Yarrowia lipolytica: one gene and its partners. The protein of the gene in region 1 interacts with the protein of each later gene in a pairwise test. Links are inferred from orthologs where the notes say so. Each region holds a gene or a part of one and is shown in the gene's direction. Other genes may lie near its edges.

Region 1 (4,573 bases):
ACCCGCGGAACCGGCTCGGCCGCTACTCTAGATCACCATGCCAAAAGATGTTGACATAGAGCCAACACCACAGTATCAATTAGTACGTTTCGTGGATGCAACTGTCGTCACATCGACCACACGTAGACTATCCTGTATGTAGCACACATTGTCCTAACCAGCCCATTTATCCCATTATCCCATTATCCAACCGTTTGGTGTCGCCACCTCATTGTCCCCCTCCCCCACCCTATGCGTTGTTGTTGAGCTTGCTTCTGGCGGCAGCAAACATTTCCTCCTGCTTTCTCAACAGCTCCTCCTCGGTCATGCCCGACTGCTCCAGCTTTCCAACCTTCTTCTCCCGCGACTTGAGCGCCTCCTTGTGCTCCACAATCAGGTCCTTGATGGGCTCAATGTAGTCTATGAATCCCAGCTCCTGCAGAGCCTTGATGACATGTTCCGGCGCAATCGTCTTCTTGCTCTCCTTCTCGGCAATCTCGTTGCTTTCGGTGCTCAGCATCATGATGAACTCGATGCAGCACTCGATCAACACGTCGCGGGTGTCCTTGGCAAACGCCAGGTCTGACGGAATGATTTCGCTCACTATCTTCTGCACCGTGGCTGGGTTAATAACCGACCCACAACTTTCAACCCCCCACAAACAGAAACACAAACACAAACACAACCCCCCCTCCGGCTCTACTCACCCTTGGGCAACGAAAGGTCGTCATTCCCTGAAGTTTCTCTGTCGCTCATTTCACTGCGTGTATGTTGTGGTAAACGTGTGGTTGTGCCGTGGTGGACTCGTCGCTCTTACGCGCCTTGTATGCTTTATGCATGTTTATATATTTTTCGAGCTCCCAAAGATAGAGTTCAAGAGTCGTAAACAGTGATAGCCACCCTACAGGAAAGTGCAAGTCGCACTGGGAGAACGGCGCCACCGATCCAGCCAGGTCACGTGATCCTACATACCCCCCCCAGAGCCACGCCCCAAGAATTGTATTTCCCACTCTTAATCTGTTGATTTTGGTGCCTTTGGGCAACCAACCCTGTTCCCTCAAAACACGTACAAGTTTGTCAGTCAATTCATTCTCATCCATCATCCAACTACTACCCCGTTTAAGGTTCCAGAATGAGCTTAAAATGCGGGAACTCAAAGAGAAACCTTTTTTTTTTGGGCCCGTCACGTGATGGCAAACACTCGATGAGACGTAGCACAGACTCAATGAGACGTAGCTCAGACTCAATGAGACGTCGCAGAGCAATTTTGTGGGGGCGGGGAGGGAGGGGGGAGACCAAGGAGGGAACAGCCGGCTGTTGGCGACAAGAACCGACTTTGGGTTGTTCTGTTGCACTCCGAACCACAACATTGGTGACAATGAACAAGCTCAGTTTAGACCATCGGGGTTACATAGCTGTTAAAACGCCAACAAATACTTGCAAGGGGTCCAGTTTTTCGGCTAGTGAGTAAACCGGGGGTGTTTATCACGACTATCGGACCGGTTTGGTCCAAAGTGTGGTATTTCGTTGAGCATTTGGAGACAAACAGATTATGTGTTGTCGGTGACTAACCCTAGTGCATGAGTCAATCTGGTATTGGTGGGATCGTTATGGGCGTGTAGCTACTGTACAGCTCCTGTACAATGGTGTACTATGGTTGAGTTGGTTTGTTGCGACCGTCTCGTCTTGGAGGATTTACACGACAACTAAATGTTTCCCATTCCGGGCACAGGTCAAAATCGAACCAACGCCGCCTGCCAACTCCTCTACCGTTCGACAGCGCGCCAGTTCGATTCCCCGTTGTGATGCTAAAGTAACCTCGTTTACGGTGGATCATCGAGAATGACATATAGTGGCAAATACGAGGAGATATTTTGTGTCGAGCACGTTTCGGGTCGACACCGAAGAGTCGGAACCCCCCAAAACTCCCCGTTTCCACGCTTCCCCGCAACTCCAACGCTCTCTGCTCTGTTCTTCTACCACACCAGATGTACTTGTTACAATACAAGTCTCGGTCAATTTTCATGCAGAAAAAAAATTCAGAGTTTAAATTATTTTTTCCTGCACTTGGACAACCATCAGGCAAGCCAGATAATTCCACCACAACTCACACACATCATGTCGGAACAGCTGTCTCGATTCGATCCCGCTCTCACGCAGTACGCCAGCGTCACAAGTGCGCTTAACCAGCACAAGATCCGTGTCCAGGCGGTCTCAGGCGCCAATGCCAGTCTCCAGCCCGTGGAGTTTGTGTTGGAGAAGGGCACCACTGTGACTGCTCTCAAGTGGACCAAGAACGTTGGCGAGGGCGCCTCGTCGTCTTCTCGACGCAAGAAGACCAAGACCCAGGACTCGGCGGCTGCTTCTTCCGAGGAATATCTAGTTTCTGTGGGAACCAACCGGGGCGACATTCTCACTTTTTCTCCCGCCCAGGCCAAGCTTGTGTCTGCTCTCCGAGGCGGCCATTCTCTGCCTGTGGCCGACTTTGACGTCGACGCCAACTCCGGCACCACCTACTCGCTTGACAACCGAGGTCTTTTGAACGTGTGGAAGGGCTCTTCTGTGGAACGATCTGTGGACAAGACCGGCGCCAAGCTGGTGGCCGTTCTGCCCTCGGGTAACGTGCTGCTGGCCACCCACAACATCGCCGTCTACGGCCCCCAGGGCGATGACTCGTCGGCCGTCTCGTTTGACTCGGCTCTGTTTGATATCCCCTCGCACACCTCTACTGTCACCGAGCTGTGTGTTCGAGGTGACCTTGTTGCTGCCGTTGCTGGCGACCGTCTCATCAACGTGGTTAACGTGGCTCAGAAGAAAATTGTGCTGGTGCTCATGGCCGAGTCGGGTGCCCACCGTGTCTCCATGAACGGCGACATTCTCACCGCCCTGACAGAGGGAGGAGCCGCCGAGTTCTTCCAGCTCGCCCAGACTAACGGATCCACCCCCAACAGCAAGAAGGGAAAGCGCAAGAGCATTGTCACCAAGTCCTCGTTTGCATCGCTGGACCTGGAGCGGGGCACTAAGGCTGCCGGCCAGAACCTCGTCATCGACGCCATCGCGCTCACCGCCAAGGAGGCCTACTACTCGTACACCGAGCGGGCCCAGGCCCAGTTTGCACACGTGACTCTGGCTGCTCTGGAGACCGAGCCCACCATGACGGTGGTGCACGACCCCAAAAACGCCGCAAACCACTACACCGAGGAGCGAACTGTGCCCGTGTCCTACAACGAGGAGGACGCTATCATTGCTGCTGGAGACGACTATTCACAGCTGGAGAACGGTGTAGGAAGCGACGAGTCCGATGACGACGAGTCTGCCACTCTGGCCGAAAAGATGGACGCTCTCAAGCGAGAAAACAAGACCACCAAGAGCGGACTTTCCGGAACTGCTCCCCCGACCATGGGATCTCTATCCACTGTTCTTACCCAGGCCATCAAGTCCGACGACGACGATCTGCTCGAGTCGTGTCTCCTTTTCCGAGACGAGGAGGGCATCAAGTCTACCGTCCAGCGACTCAACAGTAATCTGGCCGTGCTACTTTTGGAGCGTTTGGCTGCCAAGATGACCGCCCAACCCTCTAGAGGCCGACAGTTCAACGCCTGGATCAAGTGGGTCATGGTGGCACATGGAGGATACCTGGTGACCGTGCCCAAGCTGCTGGTGACTGTGTCGCGACTTCACAAGGCTCTTAATACCCGAGTCAACACACTGGATCGTCTGCTGGCTCTGGAGGGCCGTCTGGAGATGCTTGAGGCCCAGATGGAACTGCGAAACGCCAGCCACGGCGCCAACGACGACGACGAGGAGTCCGACTCCGAGGTCGAGTTTGTCGAGGGCGAAGAGGACATTGACGAAGACGATGAGGAAGACGACATGTCCGAGATCATGGCCATGGGCGATGATGACGATGTCGAGATGGGTGAGGGGGACGAAGGTGAGGATGATGAGGACGAGGACGAGGACGAAGAAAGTGACGAAGAGGACGAGGACGAGAACGAGATTGCTCTGCCTGACTCGGACGAGGAGGAGATGAAGCAGGTGCTCAACAAGAAGCGAGGCAAGCAGTAAATAACTAGCATTATAGATTTGTATCATTGGTTTGGGAAAAGTAGGGGTCTAGAGAACACAATGTAGTACGCTCAAAAATGATCCGACGGAGTTGTAATTTTGACACAATGGATATGACAACATTGTTAGCGGTTTAATGCAATGATATTTCATGTTTGTCACACGAAATCGCCCCCAAAATCACCCCCAATATCATTCGTATAATCCGCTCCTCTTTCCCCCCCCCCCAAACTCTATTCGAAAATTATTATGCATGTGCATGTATGTGAGAAAAAACACTGGGTAGTTGAAATCTTTTCAAAGCCACCATGACGAAGCGGAAAAGTGCGTTGAGTGCGCTGAAGCCGACGAAAAAACAGGTCATCAGCTCGGAGGATTCGGATCCCGAAGTCGTTGTGGTCACCAACCCTCCTCTGGACTCTCCGGATGCAGAGGAGTCGTTCATCAGCATCACCGAAGAAGATGAGGCCGTCAGACAGCTCAGCACTTTTGATTTCAGTGCAAAGAACACCAAGGTGGTACGAGA
Region 2 (5,914 bases), about 1.8 Mb from region 1:
ACTCTCAGACAGAACTGGAAGGCGTTTCCTCAGGGGAGAGGTTTACTTGGGAGTAGAGGGGTGAAAACTTGTCAAAGGACAACAGAATATTGTATATAGTATTTATTAGAGGAGAGAGTGAGATGATTAAAGATTTCAGTCTAAGTAGTTGGTACTTGTATTGTATAATGCTACCAGTCGATGATTCAATTGAGATTCAGCTACTCGTTAATAGTTCTCTACTTTGCTTTCCAGACATGCTTCGATATGTCATAACTGTCTCATGGCTCTGTACAGTTTCAACATCTATAGTATATACTAGCTACACCAACACCATACAATCATCTACGATACATCTACGATGTCATTAACCAATGTGCTTGGGTCGCACATACTCGATATACATTAACTGGTTCAAACCCATTCACCATGCCGCCTAATCCTGCATCTTCTCGAGCTTTCCGCTTCGAGCCTCGCCGCTTGATCCAATGAGCACCACTCTATCCAAATTAGTGCACTCGTCCTCGTCCTCTCCCTCAATGAGCATGGAGATGGTCGACACGTTCTGGAACCGCACGTATCTGAGCTTGATCTCGGCCCACTCACCATCAAAAACCACATCTCCGACATGCTGGGCCTCGATCGACTGGGTGTCGTCGAACGACAGGTTGGGATGGTTGGCCCACACCTTGATATGCGAGGGGATCTGGTTGTCACCACTGACGGCGGGCTTCTTGAGCAGAATCGTCTGGATCTTGGCGTTGTTCTGCAGCTGCACGTTGAGCAGCATCTGCGAGTCTGTATCGGAGACAAACTCCTGATCGCCCGACAGCCCGTTGGTCAGCACGTTTCGCACGTCGCCGTTGTTTGCAATGTTGAGAGCCTCGGTCGAGGTGAAGTCAATACCAGAGTTGAGAATCTCCATGTTCTTGGGCACAAAAGCTGCGATGGCAGAGTTGTCAGTCGAGTTGACAGTGGAGCCAGCATCCTCAGAGTCGGCGCCTCCTGCTCCAGGAAGGGACTTGACGGCTGCAGGGTTCAGGGAAACCAACTGATCCAGACCAGTAGTAATTCCGGCTCTGTCAGCTCCAACGACCCGATTGACCTCCTTGCCCTTGTGGAAGTACACAAAAGTGGGCATGGAAGACACGGTGTACTTGGCAGCAATGTCCTTGCCCTGATCCACGTCGACCTTTGCAAATAGCACCTGGTTGTAGTCGGACTGGAGGGTCTCGACAAAGGGTGAAATCACCTTGCAGGGTCCGCACCATTCTGCGAAGAAATCGACAATGACTAGCTCGGACTTGAGCACCTTGTCAAACTCCCCCAGAGACGTGACTGTATGTAGCTTCATGGTTGTGGTGGTGTGTTGTGCTGAGTTGTGTTTTGTTGGAGGAGGTTTTGGTGTCATGTCTTGACTCTATGTGGGTTGATTGATGTGATGTGGGCTGAAGTTAAACTGGGGTGGCAAACGATGGTGGTTGTAGTAACAAGAGGTGGGGTGAAGAGGGGGAAATACAGACGGGATAAAACAGAGACAAATATATACATTGATAGCTATTACTTGTATGGAACACTTTTAACTGTCTCCTAAATGTCTCCTTGAGTGATATGAGGGGACCCACAAATAGAGTTCCATGTCTTCAACTGTGTGGACTAAGTATGGAACTATTTAGTGGAAAGAATTGTTTAAACTCTGTATGGGGACATCCCCAGTTCGAGACGTGTCAGTGTCTTTTCTTGTGTGTGTGTGTGTGTGTGTGTGTGTGTGTGTGTGTATGAAAAGTGAGAAAATGAGACCAGTATACTGACTAAGCACACCAAGAGCCCCAAAGAAATTCCGTCTCGTCGCTTCGTTGCCTCTCCATTGCAAGATCAATCTCAGCCCGTCACGTTTCAAGTCTTGGGCTTACTCCCTAACCCGAACCTTATAAAAATTATTTCATGCATGATATGGATTATTTTCAAACGCATACTACACAACACAATCATGGGAGTCAAGCGACCTCTATCCAAGGCTTCTCAGCATGAGAGCCAGAGTAAAAAGGTGAAATCCGAGGCCAAGCCCGAAATCACCTCTCTCGCCGACCTGGAGAGCGAAGACGACGACTCAGAGGACGATTCCGAAGACGATTCCGGGGCTGATGACGACTCAGACGAAGACAAGTTCTCGGACAAGGAGGAGGAGATCTCGGACAATGAACACGAGGAGAAACCAGGCCGAGTGTCGAAAAAGAAGGCCAAATTGCAGCTTTCTGCAGCGGAAATCAAGGCTGCAAAGGAGGCTGCTGAACTCTTCAAGAGTAACATCTTCAAGATGCAGATTGACGAGCTGCTAAAGGAGCTGGACGTGGATGAGAAACACACCAAGCGAATTGGCAAAATGCTCCATCGGGTCCATTCGATCATCGCCGAGATCCCCAAGGCTGGTCCCTTCGATGTGTCCAGAGCTAGCAAGTGGGCTTCTTCCCAGCAGGTGGAGATCCCCTGGAACCGACCCAGTGACAAGACTCAGTACAAATTTGCTTTTGCCAAGCCTTCAGATGTGAATGTGGTGGGATCTTTTGCTCTGGGTAGTGTCAACCGACTGCCTGGAAAGGAGCGTGTGGCTGTGGATGTTTCCGTCACTATGCCTCGAGAATTGTTTCAGGAAAAGGACTTCCTCAACAACCGGTACCTTCACAAAAGGGCCTTTTATCTGACTGTTCTGGCTGCTGCTCTGAAAAAGGAGCTCGACTGCAGCGTGTCTTACGAGACTCTGGATGACGATATTCGGCCTGTGGTTGTGCTTCGAGGAATCAACAAAAGCGATACCGATTTCGGCCCTAAGTCGCCCTTCTACATTCGAATTCTTCCCGTCATCGAAGAGGATGTCTTTGACACCAAGAAACTGGCCCCTGGCCGAAATTGTCTGCGATCCAAGGACGGAGAAGAACCCCCCACCCCCCTTTACAACTCTGCTATCCTTGCAGACATGACCACAACCCGATACCTCGGCTTCCTGAAGAAGACCGCCAAGATCGTGCCTGCCTTTGTGGCTGCCTGGCGTCTGGGAAGCCTGTGGCTCAGGCAGAGAGGCTTCTCTGGAGCTGTGGGCCAGGGAGGTTTTGGAGCCATGGAGTTTGGAATGCTCATGGCTGCTCTGCTGAGATCCAAGCAGCAGCTGCATGCCGGATACTCATCATACCAGCTGTTTAAGGGAGTGGTACGGTTCCTGGCCATTGAGGATCTGACCCGGCAGACCTGGACTTACTCTTCAGCCCTTGAGCTCAGCAACGACGCTCACTTTGAAGACAATGATACCAGACTGCCCTGTGTTCTGGACTCTGATACTGGTCTGAACATCATCGCCAAGGTCCAGCCCTGGGCATATGATCTCATCAAGCACGAGTCTCGAGTTTCCTTTGATCTCCTGAGCGACACTACGGTGGACCGATTTGGACTCCTGTTCCTGCGATACATTGCCGAGCCCAAGCTGTATTTCGACGAGGTTGTGCGTGTCCCCGTGACTGAGATTGAGGGCCATCCTTTCACTGGATCCAAAAAAGTGCAGTTCTCGTCATTTGGCAACTTCTTCGCCAACAATGTCTACGCTGTTCTGAAACAGGGTCTGGATGACCGAGTCGCCTGTGTGTCTGTCTCCATGGAGACTGGCCAAGCCTGGGACATTGATGCCAAGTTCGAGACCTCCACCACTGGCGAGGTGTCTGTGGGATTGCTTTTCACTGCCGACTGCAACAGAACTGTCACTCATGGACCCGCCAACGACGATGCCGAGGCCTGTGAAGCTTTCCGAGATTTCTGGGGCGACAAGGCCGAGCTTCGACGGTTCGCTGACGGCTCTATTAAGGAGACCACCGTGTGGAACGGTCGAGGACTCGTGACTTCTCAGATCATTCGGTTTGTGCTGGAGAACCATGTGTCTCCCTCGTGTCTGGCTGATCTGTACCTGTCTTCCGACAACTACCAGACCATGATCACGGAGGTGACCGACGCCCATTCCAAGCTCATCTCCGAGGCTCTTGTCAATCTCACTGCTGCCGTCAATCGAATCGAGCTGCCTCTGGTGGTCAAGAACATTCTTCCCGCCTCTTCGGCTCTTCGGTCGACCGATGTGTCGCCTGCTCTGCCCTTCGAGCTCAACGGCGACTTTTTCTGCGACGCAATTGTCCAGTTTGAGAGCTCGTCTCGATGGCCCGAAGAGATTGAGGCTATGGAGAAGACCAAGCTGGCCTTTTTGCTGGATATGCGAAAGAAGCTGGCAGACCAGGGATATCGAGTCATTGTTGGTTTCAACGACAAGCAAGCGTTTGCTCTTGTTCTGACGCCGGAGGGATTCGGATTCAGACTGCACATTATCACCGAGACTGACGAACTGCTGGTCAAACATTTCGTCAAAGATAACGCCAACGCTGCTCTTCGACACCTCGCCTTCCGACAGTTCAATGACGCCCCTAACCACACCCGGCTCATAACCACCATGACCACCCGATATCCTCTGTACGGAGCCACCGTGCGACTGGTAAAGGCCTGGCTGGACGCCCACTTTATGACTGCCGCCTTCCCCCAGGAGCTGTGGGAGCTCATTGCTCTGCAGCCCTTCGTGTCTTCGGCACCCTACGTGCCTCCTCAGAGCATCTCGTGTGCCTTCAACCGAGTCATTGCGTTCCTGGCGCGTTGGAACTGGAAGGAGAACCCTCTACTGCTCGATGTGGAGGTGCATCCCGATCCTTCCCGAGAACTGGCTGTGCAGGAAAATCTTTCGGACGTGACTGGAACCACCACCGACTCTGCTGTGCATGCGCAGATGACCGCTGCCTTCGCCAAACATCGTCACCTGGACCCTGCTCTTCGAGTGCCTTTATTTGTGGCCACCACCCGAACCAAGGTCGAGGACGGAGCTCTGTGGTCTGCTCCCAAGCACGAGGGGGCCGGAATCATGCTTTCTGGTCGTCTCACAGCGCTGGCCAAGGCTGCCAAGCAGGTAATCGATACCGACGGGCAGTTTGAGTCGCTCTTCAGCACCTCTCTGGCTCCCTACGACTTTACCATCAAGCTGCGAAAGGACCAGGTGCCCAAGAAGACCTCGAAGTATAAGAATCTGCAGGCCATTGTCAAGGGAACCTTCCCTAATGACGACGGAGTGGTTGCCAACTCTTGCAACGAGGCGCGTCGGTTCTACGATGAAATCTCCAACACCTATGCTGGAGCCTGTCTCTTCTTCTCGGACGTTCTGGCCATGGATTCTGGAGTTATTGCCGGAATGTGGCTCCCTGAGGCCAAGGAGCCCCGGAAGTTCCGTGTCAACTTGGAGTACGCCACCGTTCCCGATGGCTCCAAGGTGACTCTTGACCAGGAGGGTATTATTAGCGAGATCAAGCGAATCGGAGGAGACTTGATTAATAAGGTGGATGTTAAATAGCGGCTTCGTGGAGGATTTAATAATAGATGCATTGATTAGATTAGAAGAAGATGGTGGAGTCTAGATGGAGTGATATATTACACCGCAGTACGTATTTGAACCGACTTTGGAAGAACTACAGGCCAACATACCCGAACTAGCAGAGTGTACACACCCACTAGCTACTGCACAAGTGCATACCAGCGTACTGATACTTTACAATAAGTATGAGTGCGTCAGTGGACAGCCTGCATTAGCTGGCTAACCGTTGAACCATTGCTTTGCGTCTGCACGAGCGATATGGACCAGAAAACAAGAAATATGTTGTATTTCAAACTCGGAGAATGTAATTGAGAACTTGCACCTTCCATTGTACTCACAGACCGTCCAGTGTGTATGTAGTTCAACATAACATCATCTTGTAACAGCTCTAACGGGCAGCCTTACATAGACTGGTACCGATTTTATCTGATAGCCATATGGGATCAGCTGCTGTAGATGAATCTATACCCTTACCAATTCTTGATGCGGAAT
Region 3 (3,961 bases), about 1.7 Mb from region 1:
GTCAAGCTCAACATTGAAGCCACCTGCGAATACGGCAGTAACTCTCGATGGGAGGAGAGCAAGGATAAGGAGGTCAAGTCGCCGGCCTTTATCACCCAAACAAGCCTTGACTTTCTCTCAAATGCCTCCTCTGTCTCGGAGATCATCCACCTGTTTGAAAAACACCTGCCGATCCAAACAGCGCCAAACAACAATCCCCTCAGCATCTTTTCCTACAAAACAGAAGAGTACGAGAGCGCCATTGCCAACGAGCCGCTCCCGAAGAACATAAGCGACATTCTGATCGAGAACTATAGGAATTTGGTGGACCCCTTCTTCCCCATTATTGACTGGAAGGAGTTCGAAGAACATTATGAAAACCTATACCCCGGGCAGGCTGGTCCTACACCGCCATCACCGCCACAACCACCGTCCTTCCTGGCTCTGATATACACAGTCTACGCCCTGAGTTGCAAGTCCTGCGCTTTCGACTCGCTGCTACATACCTTGCATGCTTCAGCCGTCATCCACTTTTCTGATCGCGCCGAGCAATACCTCAACAGAATACCCTTGTTAGTGACCTCGTCGATCGACGACTTCCGAGCAGCACTGCTCTACATTTACAGTTCATTCTCTGGCGACTGTCTTATGGTGGGATGGTCTCTGTGTGGTCTGTTGGTAACAATGAGCCAACGGATTCTGCCTCCCTTTACAGCCTCCAGCGACGTGAAGGAAGCTGCAAACCACCTCATTTCGGTTTCTGGCACTTTTTTCGACGCCTGCCAAGCATTTGTAGGCCACAAATCTGGGTTAGAATACCCCCAATTGCCTTTCAGCTCATACCCGTTTCTACACACTACCCAGAAGCTCTACATGTTCACCCGTGGACTGCAGAACAGCCATGATTCTTCAGATCCTGCTGAACTCCTGCGAATCGACCAGATAATCAATACTCTTCCCCAGGGAGATCCTATGGAGTTCATGAAGAAACTGGCACTGACAACACAATGGCACAAGGCCAATCTTTTGCTTTTCCGATGTGGCAAGATCGACCGACTCTCTGGACTCATGTCACTTCTGAAGCTACTGGAGAACCAATTCTATCTCTACTCTGCTCCTCCACAGATCCAACAATACATTCTGTTTCACTGGAACAACATTTACTACCATGTGTTCACGGGAGTGATTGTTTTGGCTCTAGAACTGGAGGCAACTGATCCTCTGCCTCCGCTGGATCCATCTGTATTCCCCAACCTCTCCAAGCTCAACCTGGAAGAGGACAAGAACTGGAAGTCCACTCTGTTGGCTGTCTTGCGTGATCAGTACTTTGATCTCAGAGTCAATTCTGAGTGTGCTAGTGCACGTGCTCACATGATAACTTCGGCATTTCTGGCCCAAGACACACATATGGAGTGTCCACGACCGTTTGGACCTTTCCATAAGATGCTGTGCCTGCCATCAGGATTTTACATCTGTCGGTTTGACCGGTCGTACTTTCAGTGTGGCTACGGAATGGAGCTGGACCGTCAGATTGGTCGTGCGTTATACGACTCCAAGGAGAGTTCCAAGGTGTTTCTATAGCTTCTTCCCAGAGATGAGAAGACATCTGTATTTATTGCATTTTTCAATGCCAGTGTCTGAACTGTAGTTCAAGTAAGTTACTAAGTAATACTAAGTAATACGCGAAGATAAACGCATGCAAAACCTACAACAAGCAGGCCATTAGCCATCACGAAAGATTATAAGAAGCTGTTTGCCTTTCAATATCAACCTCCCCCCAGTTAATCCCACTTAGTGACAACCCCTTTCACCATAACATAAAGCTACTTGTAGTTATGTTCGACAGTGGATATCTCCAAATCCACCTCCGCAAATAAAGTTCAAGGTGCATGCACAACAGAAAAAATTGGAAACCATCTGCAAGATTTCAATATCACCACCACCACACAAGCAAATCAACAATGTCCGCCCCCTTGAACCGGTTGACGATTGCTAAGGAGGTCAAAAAGGGCTCCGACTTGACGCCCGAGCAAAAATTCTGGAAAACCTACCGTTCGCCTCTGCTCGTCAAAGAGTACAATGCCATCTCTCACGTTTCCTTCAACCATCACAATGACTTTGCCGTCACCTCGTCTACTCGAATCCAGATCTTCTCTGGAAAGACCCGAAAAGTCACCAAGACTATCTCTCGTTTCAAGGATACTGTATACTGCGGCGAGTTCCGGTCTGATGGTAAGCTGATTGTGGCCGGTGATGCTACAGGTCTGGTTCAGATCTTCGATGCCGTGTCGAGAAACATTCTGGTGACTCTGCAGGCGTCCCAACTGGCCACTCATGTGACTAAGTTCCACCCCACAAACCTCACCACTCTCCTCACAGCCTCCGACGACCGAAGCGTCAAGCTCTACGATATCACCAGCTCCACTCCTCTGATCGAGTTTGAGGGCGCTCAGGATTACGTTCGATGTGGAGAGTTTGTCGATGCCAACGTTGTCGCTGCTGGTTCGTACGACGGAACTGTTCGACTCTACGACGCCCGATCCGGAAAGACCCCCATCTCTTCTCTGGCTCAGGATCACCCGGTTGAGGATGTCCTCTACCACAACGGAATGGTGTTGTCTGCCGGAGGTCCCATTGTCAAGGCCTGGGACATGACCACCGGAAAGACCATCCGACAAATGGGCAACTTCAGCAAGACCGTTACTTGCCTGGCCCCTACTCACGGTGCTTCTGGATTCTTCGCTGGCTCCCTAGACGGCCATGTCAAGGTCTTTGATGATACCTCATTCAAGGTTACCTACGGCTGGAAGTACGGCTCCGGAGTGCTCTGTACTGGTATGTCTCTAGACTCCCAGCATATTGTGGCCGGTCTGGTTTCCGGTATTGTCGCTGTTCGAACCCAGCAGCCCAAGAAGGACGAGAAGATCAGCAACGGACGGGTTCTGGACCAGAAGGCTGCTGTTGAGGAGGAGAAGAAGAAGAAGGCAGAGGGACCCGTGCTTGGAGGAACCAAGTACGAGGGTCAGTTTGAGCATGTCATTGTCGAGGAGCACGAGCGGCCCAACAAGAAGCTGCTGAAGCGATATGAAAACCTGCTTCTCGGATTCCGATGGGGTGATGCTCTCGATGCTGCACTGTCTGGAGAGCATCTGGAGACCTCTGTTCTGGCTCTGGAAGAGCTCAAGAAGCGAGGTAAGGTGCGAGCTGCACTGCTGAACCGAGATGAGGACTCTCTGGAGCCTCTCTTTGAGTTCGCTACCAAGGCCATTGCTGACTCGCGATACATCAACATTGTTGCTGACTACGTTGCAGTCGTGCTGGACATGTACACTAGTGTGATTACCAAGAGCCCGATACTCGAAGAGCGGGTGTCTGAGTTCTACGACGCTCTCAAGTCCGAGGTCGAGACTGCTAAGGAGAGCAAGAAGATCCAGGGTATGTTGGAGCTCCTCAGTGTTTAGAGAGAGCAAAAGGATGGATGCATTTGTTGAATAGATATTAGATAATGATTGGGAAAATGGTACTTGTAGTTATATCGCTGCTTGTAGACTAGTATGTAAGTAGTTGTACATGGCAGCTAGTCAAAAAACACTGTATATGTTATATCTCTAAATGCGTTCGTATGCTTATGTTAAATGCTAGGGCGATCACTTCTTAAACCTCGAGGCCCACTGCTTCTGTCCCATATTGACCTTGAATCCCGTGTTGAGTCTGTTGGTGGTGGAGAAGTTGTCGTTATCCACCTTGGCCTTCTTGTGCTGTTCAGACTCGACTCGCACAATAGCCTTTTTAGTGGTTCGCTTCTGCGTCTGATGCTTGCGTTTCTTGATACCACCTTCTTTGTAGATAGGAGCACTGAGAGCAGTCTCTCCTTCAAGAGCAGTTTCATGAACCCAATCTAAATCGTCCTGCACAGGTTCATCATAAGGATTATGGACCTCCACAGTTCCCATGATCTCGTCCAGCTCATCAGGTTCCTCCC
Region 4 (3,167 bases), on another chromosome or scaffold:
AGAGAGTATCGCTCAGATCAAGCAGATTTGGGAGCGGCTCCGAATGAAGACTGGTGTCAAGCCTGCTGAGCGAAAGCAGCTGGTGGAGGATATCTGGGCCATTTCCAAGAACGATATCAAGAACTTGATTCTCAAGCACGACGCATCGCGAATTATCCAGACTCTGTTCAAGTACGCTGACAAGGAGAAGCGAGAGATCATCACAAAGGCGCTGAAGGGCAACTACTACGACCTGGCCATCTCGTCTTACGGAAAGTACCTGCTGGTCAAGATGCTGCATTACGGATCTGCTGCCGTTCGACAATCTATTATTGACGAGCTGCACGGCCGGTTCCGAAAGCTCATGCGTCATAAGGAGGGTGCCTATGTGCTGGAGGATGCCTACAGAGACTACAGCACTGCTGCTCAGAAGCGACAAATCATCCAAGAGTTTTTCGGTGCCGAGTTTGCCGTTTTCCGAGACGCTGCTGGCACAAAGACCCTTAAGGATATTATCGAGGACGCCCCCGAGAAGCGACCCATCATCATGCGAAACCTGAACGAAACTATCACTGCTGCTGTCAACAAGGGTTCCATTGGTTTCACCGTCATTCATGCTGCCATGCTTGAGTACGTCAGCAACCTTGACACCAACAACTCGGAGAAGACCGAATTCATCGATCTGATTGGCGAGCAGTTTGCAGAGATGGTGCATACTAACGAGGGATCGCAGGTGGCTTGCAAGACTCTGGCCATGGCTTCTGCCAAGGAGAAGAAGGGTCTTCTCAAGTCGCTCAAGAGCTTTGCCGACACCCTGGCTGCTGATCAGTACGGACACATGGTCATGATGACTGCTTTTGACACCATTGACGATACCAAGAGTGTTGTTAAGGCCTTTTCTGGTGAGCTCTCCGAGAAGCCCGTGCATGAGCTGTTCATGGACAAGAACGGTCGACGACCCTTCCTGTATGCCATGCTAGGCCGAGACTCTCGATACTTCAACAAGCTGGTTCTGGATCAGCTCAAGCAGTACGATGAGATGAAGACCGCAACTGGTACTGCCAAGAAGGATGATGCTCTTCGACTGGAGGAGATCAACAAGGGAATGTCCCCTCTGATTCTCGAGGCCATTGCCAACAACGCTTACGAGCTCATGAACGACACCCTGGGTTCTCAGTTCATTTCTGAGGCTCTTCTGTCGTGTGACGGTGACAAGTCTGAGGCTATCGCTGCTCTTATGGAGGTTCTGTCTGCCGATCCCGCCGGTGACAACCACGTCATCAAGCAGCCCAACGCTCAGCGAGCTCTGCGAACCCTCATTCAACAGGGACATTGGAACAACAAGGAGAAGAAGGTAGTCAAGGTCGAGACTCCCATCGACTTCGGTGCCAAGTTCTACGATGCAATTGGGGATCACGTTGTCGCATGGGCCACTGGAGACGGTGCTTTTGTCATTGTGACTCTGTTGGAGAACCTGGAGGACGATAAGCTGAAGAAGGAGCTCAAAAAGACTCTCAAGGACAGTAAGAAGGAGATTGCTGCTGCTGCCGAGGATGGAAACAAGGGTTCCAAGCTCATTGTTGACCTGCTTTAAGCGAAAACACGTTGTATAAAGATATATTTGGTAATAGAGGTATGATAGGATAAGTTGAGGATACTGTTTTACTACAAGTAAAGAGTTGTTTGCCACTCGCGTACAAGTGCATACGATAGAGAGGGATGCTTTGATATATACATATATATTTTTTTTGGAAAGATCAATCCATAGATCAGAAATGTTGAGAATTTCCAAATGAAATAGAAGGAGATCGAAAAGGAAGTATTAACAAGTTACCAAGGTATGGCATATTTAATAGTTGGAAAATAAATAAATAAAAATAACTAAAAAAAATAAAAAATCAAACCAAAAACCAACACAAACAATACTACAAGTAGTCTCGGTGGTAGTCACACCAAATACCCATCTAAGCATTTTCCTTGATACTCGCTTCTATGCATGGCAAAACTCTATATCAAAAAAATCCCAAATTATTCTTCACGGTGCAGGGAAAGATATCACCACTTCTTCACAACACCTTTGACAAAATGGTACGACAGTTCAAGCACCACGAGGGCAAGCTGCTCAAGAAGGTCGACTTTGTCAACTGGAAGACAGATAATGGCCACCGTGAACAGCAGGTGATGGGCACCTTCCATCTGCAGGACCGAGACGACTACAACAAGTACAACAAAATCTGCGGTAAGATCCGACAATTAGCATACAAGCTATCTCAGCTCCAACCGGACGACCCTGTTCGAATCAAGCACGAAAAGCTGCTTCTCGACAAACTCTACCAGATGGGCATTCTTTCCACTAACACCACCGTTTCGCATCTGGAGACCAAGATATCTGTGTCTGCTATCGCCAAGCGACGACTCCCCGTCATCATGCACAAACTCAAGATGACCCAAAAACTGGACGCTGGAACTGCCATGATCGAGCAGGGTCACGTGAGAGTGGGTCCTCACATTGTCACCGACCCTGCGTTTCTGGTGACCCGAAACATGGAGGACTTTGTCACCTGGACCGACCGATCCAAGATCAAGAAGGCCACTCTCAAGTACCGAAACGAGCTCGACGACTTCAACACTATGTAAGTTTTTATTTATGCATGCTACTATTAGACGGAATGAGAAGGCGTGTAGAGAACTTGGAGAAGTAGGGGATAGTCCGCTTTTTTATTATTGTCAAGTCGATAAGAACACTATCAGGTGAAACGAAGACATTCATTGCTATATGTTCAACTAAATGACTTCAGATTTTGAGCGTCGTCTCCTTAATCACTGTGCTCTTGTCTGATCTCTCGGTTGTTGGTATTGTCTGGGCGAGTATGTCAGTTACGATACAAGTACTACCGTTGTAGATTCATATTTACAAGAAAGCCTACAAAAGATACACGCCGCTGGTACTTGAAGTCGTACTACTATACGATATGGTAGAAGCACAAGACTCTGCATCTCCTTGGTTCTGTCTCTCAGATTACAAGTGAGGCACTGGACCTATAGGCTAGCATTGTAGCCACAACCAAACCACTTAAATCGAAGTGATGACAATCAAGTGATCACTTTATACCACTAACTACTGTCGGGTCCCTGTGGTGACTCTATTATACCGTATGCTAATTATTTTCAGACTAAGCCGAAGCAGC

The links.
Region 2: the proteins of YALI1_E19483g (region 1) and YALI1_E37387g interact in binary tests that used the Saccharomyces cerevisiae proteins (3 or more experiments, as listed by UniProt). The link is inferred for Yarrowia lipolytica from reciprocal best matches to the Saccharomyces cerevisiae genes UTP5 and UTP22.
Region 3: the proteins of YALI1_E19483g (region 1) and YALI1_E02203g interact in binary tests that used the Saccharomyces cerevisiae proteins (3 or more experiments, as listed by UniProt). The link is inferred for Yarrowia lipolytica from reciprocal best matches to the Saccharomyces cerevisiae genes UTP5 and UTP15.
Region 4: the proteins of YALI1_E19483g (region 1) and YALI1_F23133g interact in binary tests that used the Saccharomyces cerevisiae proteins (3 or more experiments, as listed by UniProt). The link is inferred for Yarrowia lipolytica from reciprocal best matches to the Saccharomyces cerevisiae genes UTP5 and IMP3.

What each region holds. Positions count from the first base shown.
Region 1 is NC_090774.1:1,945,586-1,950,158, reverse strand, and holds YALI1_E19483g (uncharacterized protein), read left to right. Parts: upstream 1-1,821; coding exon 1,822-4,047; downstream 4,048-4,573. Other genes in the region: YALI1_E19494g (uncharacterized protein), read right to left, coding at 230-600, 687-735; YALI1_E19488g (uncharacterized protein), read right to left, coding at 732-1,349; YALI1_E19458g (uncharacterized protein), read left to right, coding at 4,356-4,573. UniProt on the Saccharomyces cerevisiae protein: Involved in nucleolar processing of pre-18S ribosomal RNA. Required for optimal pre-ribosomal RNA transcription by RNA polymerase I together with a subset of U3 proteins required for transcription (t-UTPs).
Region 2 is NC_090774.1:3,734,705-3,740,618, reverse strand, and holds YALI1_E37387g (uncharacterized protein), read left to right. Parts: upstream 1-1,927; coding exon 1,928-5,401; downstream 5,402-5,914. Other genes in the region: YALI1_E37419g (uncharacterized protein), read left to right, coding at 1-56; YALI1_E37392g (uncharacterized protein), read right to left, coding at 416-1,390. UniProt on the Saccharomyces cerevisiae protein: Involved in nucleolar processing of pre-18S ribosomal RNA and ribosome assembly.
Region 3 is NC_090774.1:218,491-222,451, forward strand, and holds YALI1_E02203g (uncharacterized protein), read left to right. Parts: upstream 1-1,868; coding exon 1,869-3,440; downstream 3,441-3,961. Other genes in the region: YALI1_E02183g (uncharacterized protein), read left to right, coding at 1-1,560; YALI1_E02231g (uncharacterized protein), read right to left, coding at 3,627-3,961. UniProt on the Saccharomyces cerevisiae protein: Involved in nucleolar processing of pre-18S ribosomal RNA. Required for optimal pre-ribosomal RNA transcription by RNA polymerase I together with a subset of U3 proteins required for transcription (t-UTPs).
Region 4 is NC_090775.1:2,311,370-2,314,536, forward strand, and holds YALI1_F23133g (uncharacterized protein), read left to right. Parts: upstream 1-1,971; coding exon 1,972-2,616; downstream 2,617-3,167. Other genes in the region: YALI1_F23109g (uncharacterized protein), read left to right, coding at 1-1,573; YALI1_F23157g (uncharacterized protein), read right to left, coding at 3,153-3,167. UniProt on the Saccharomyces cerevisiae protein: Required for the early cleavages at sites A0, A1 and A2 during 18S ribosomal pre-RNA processing.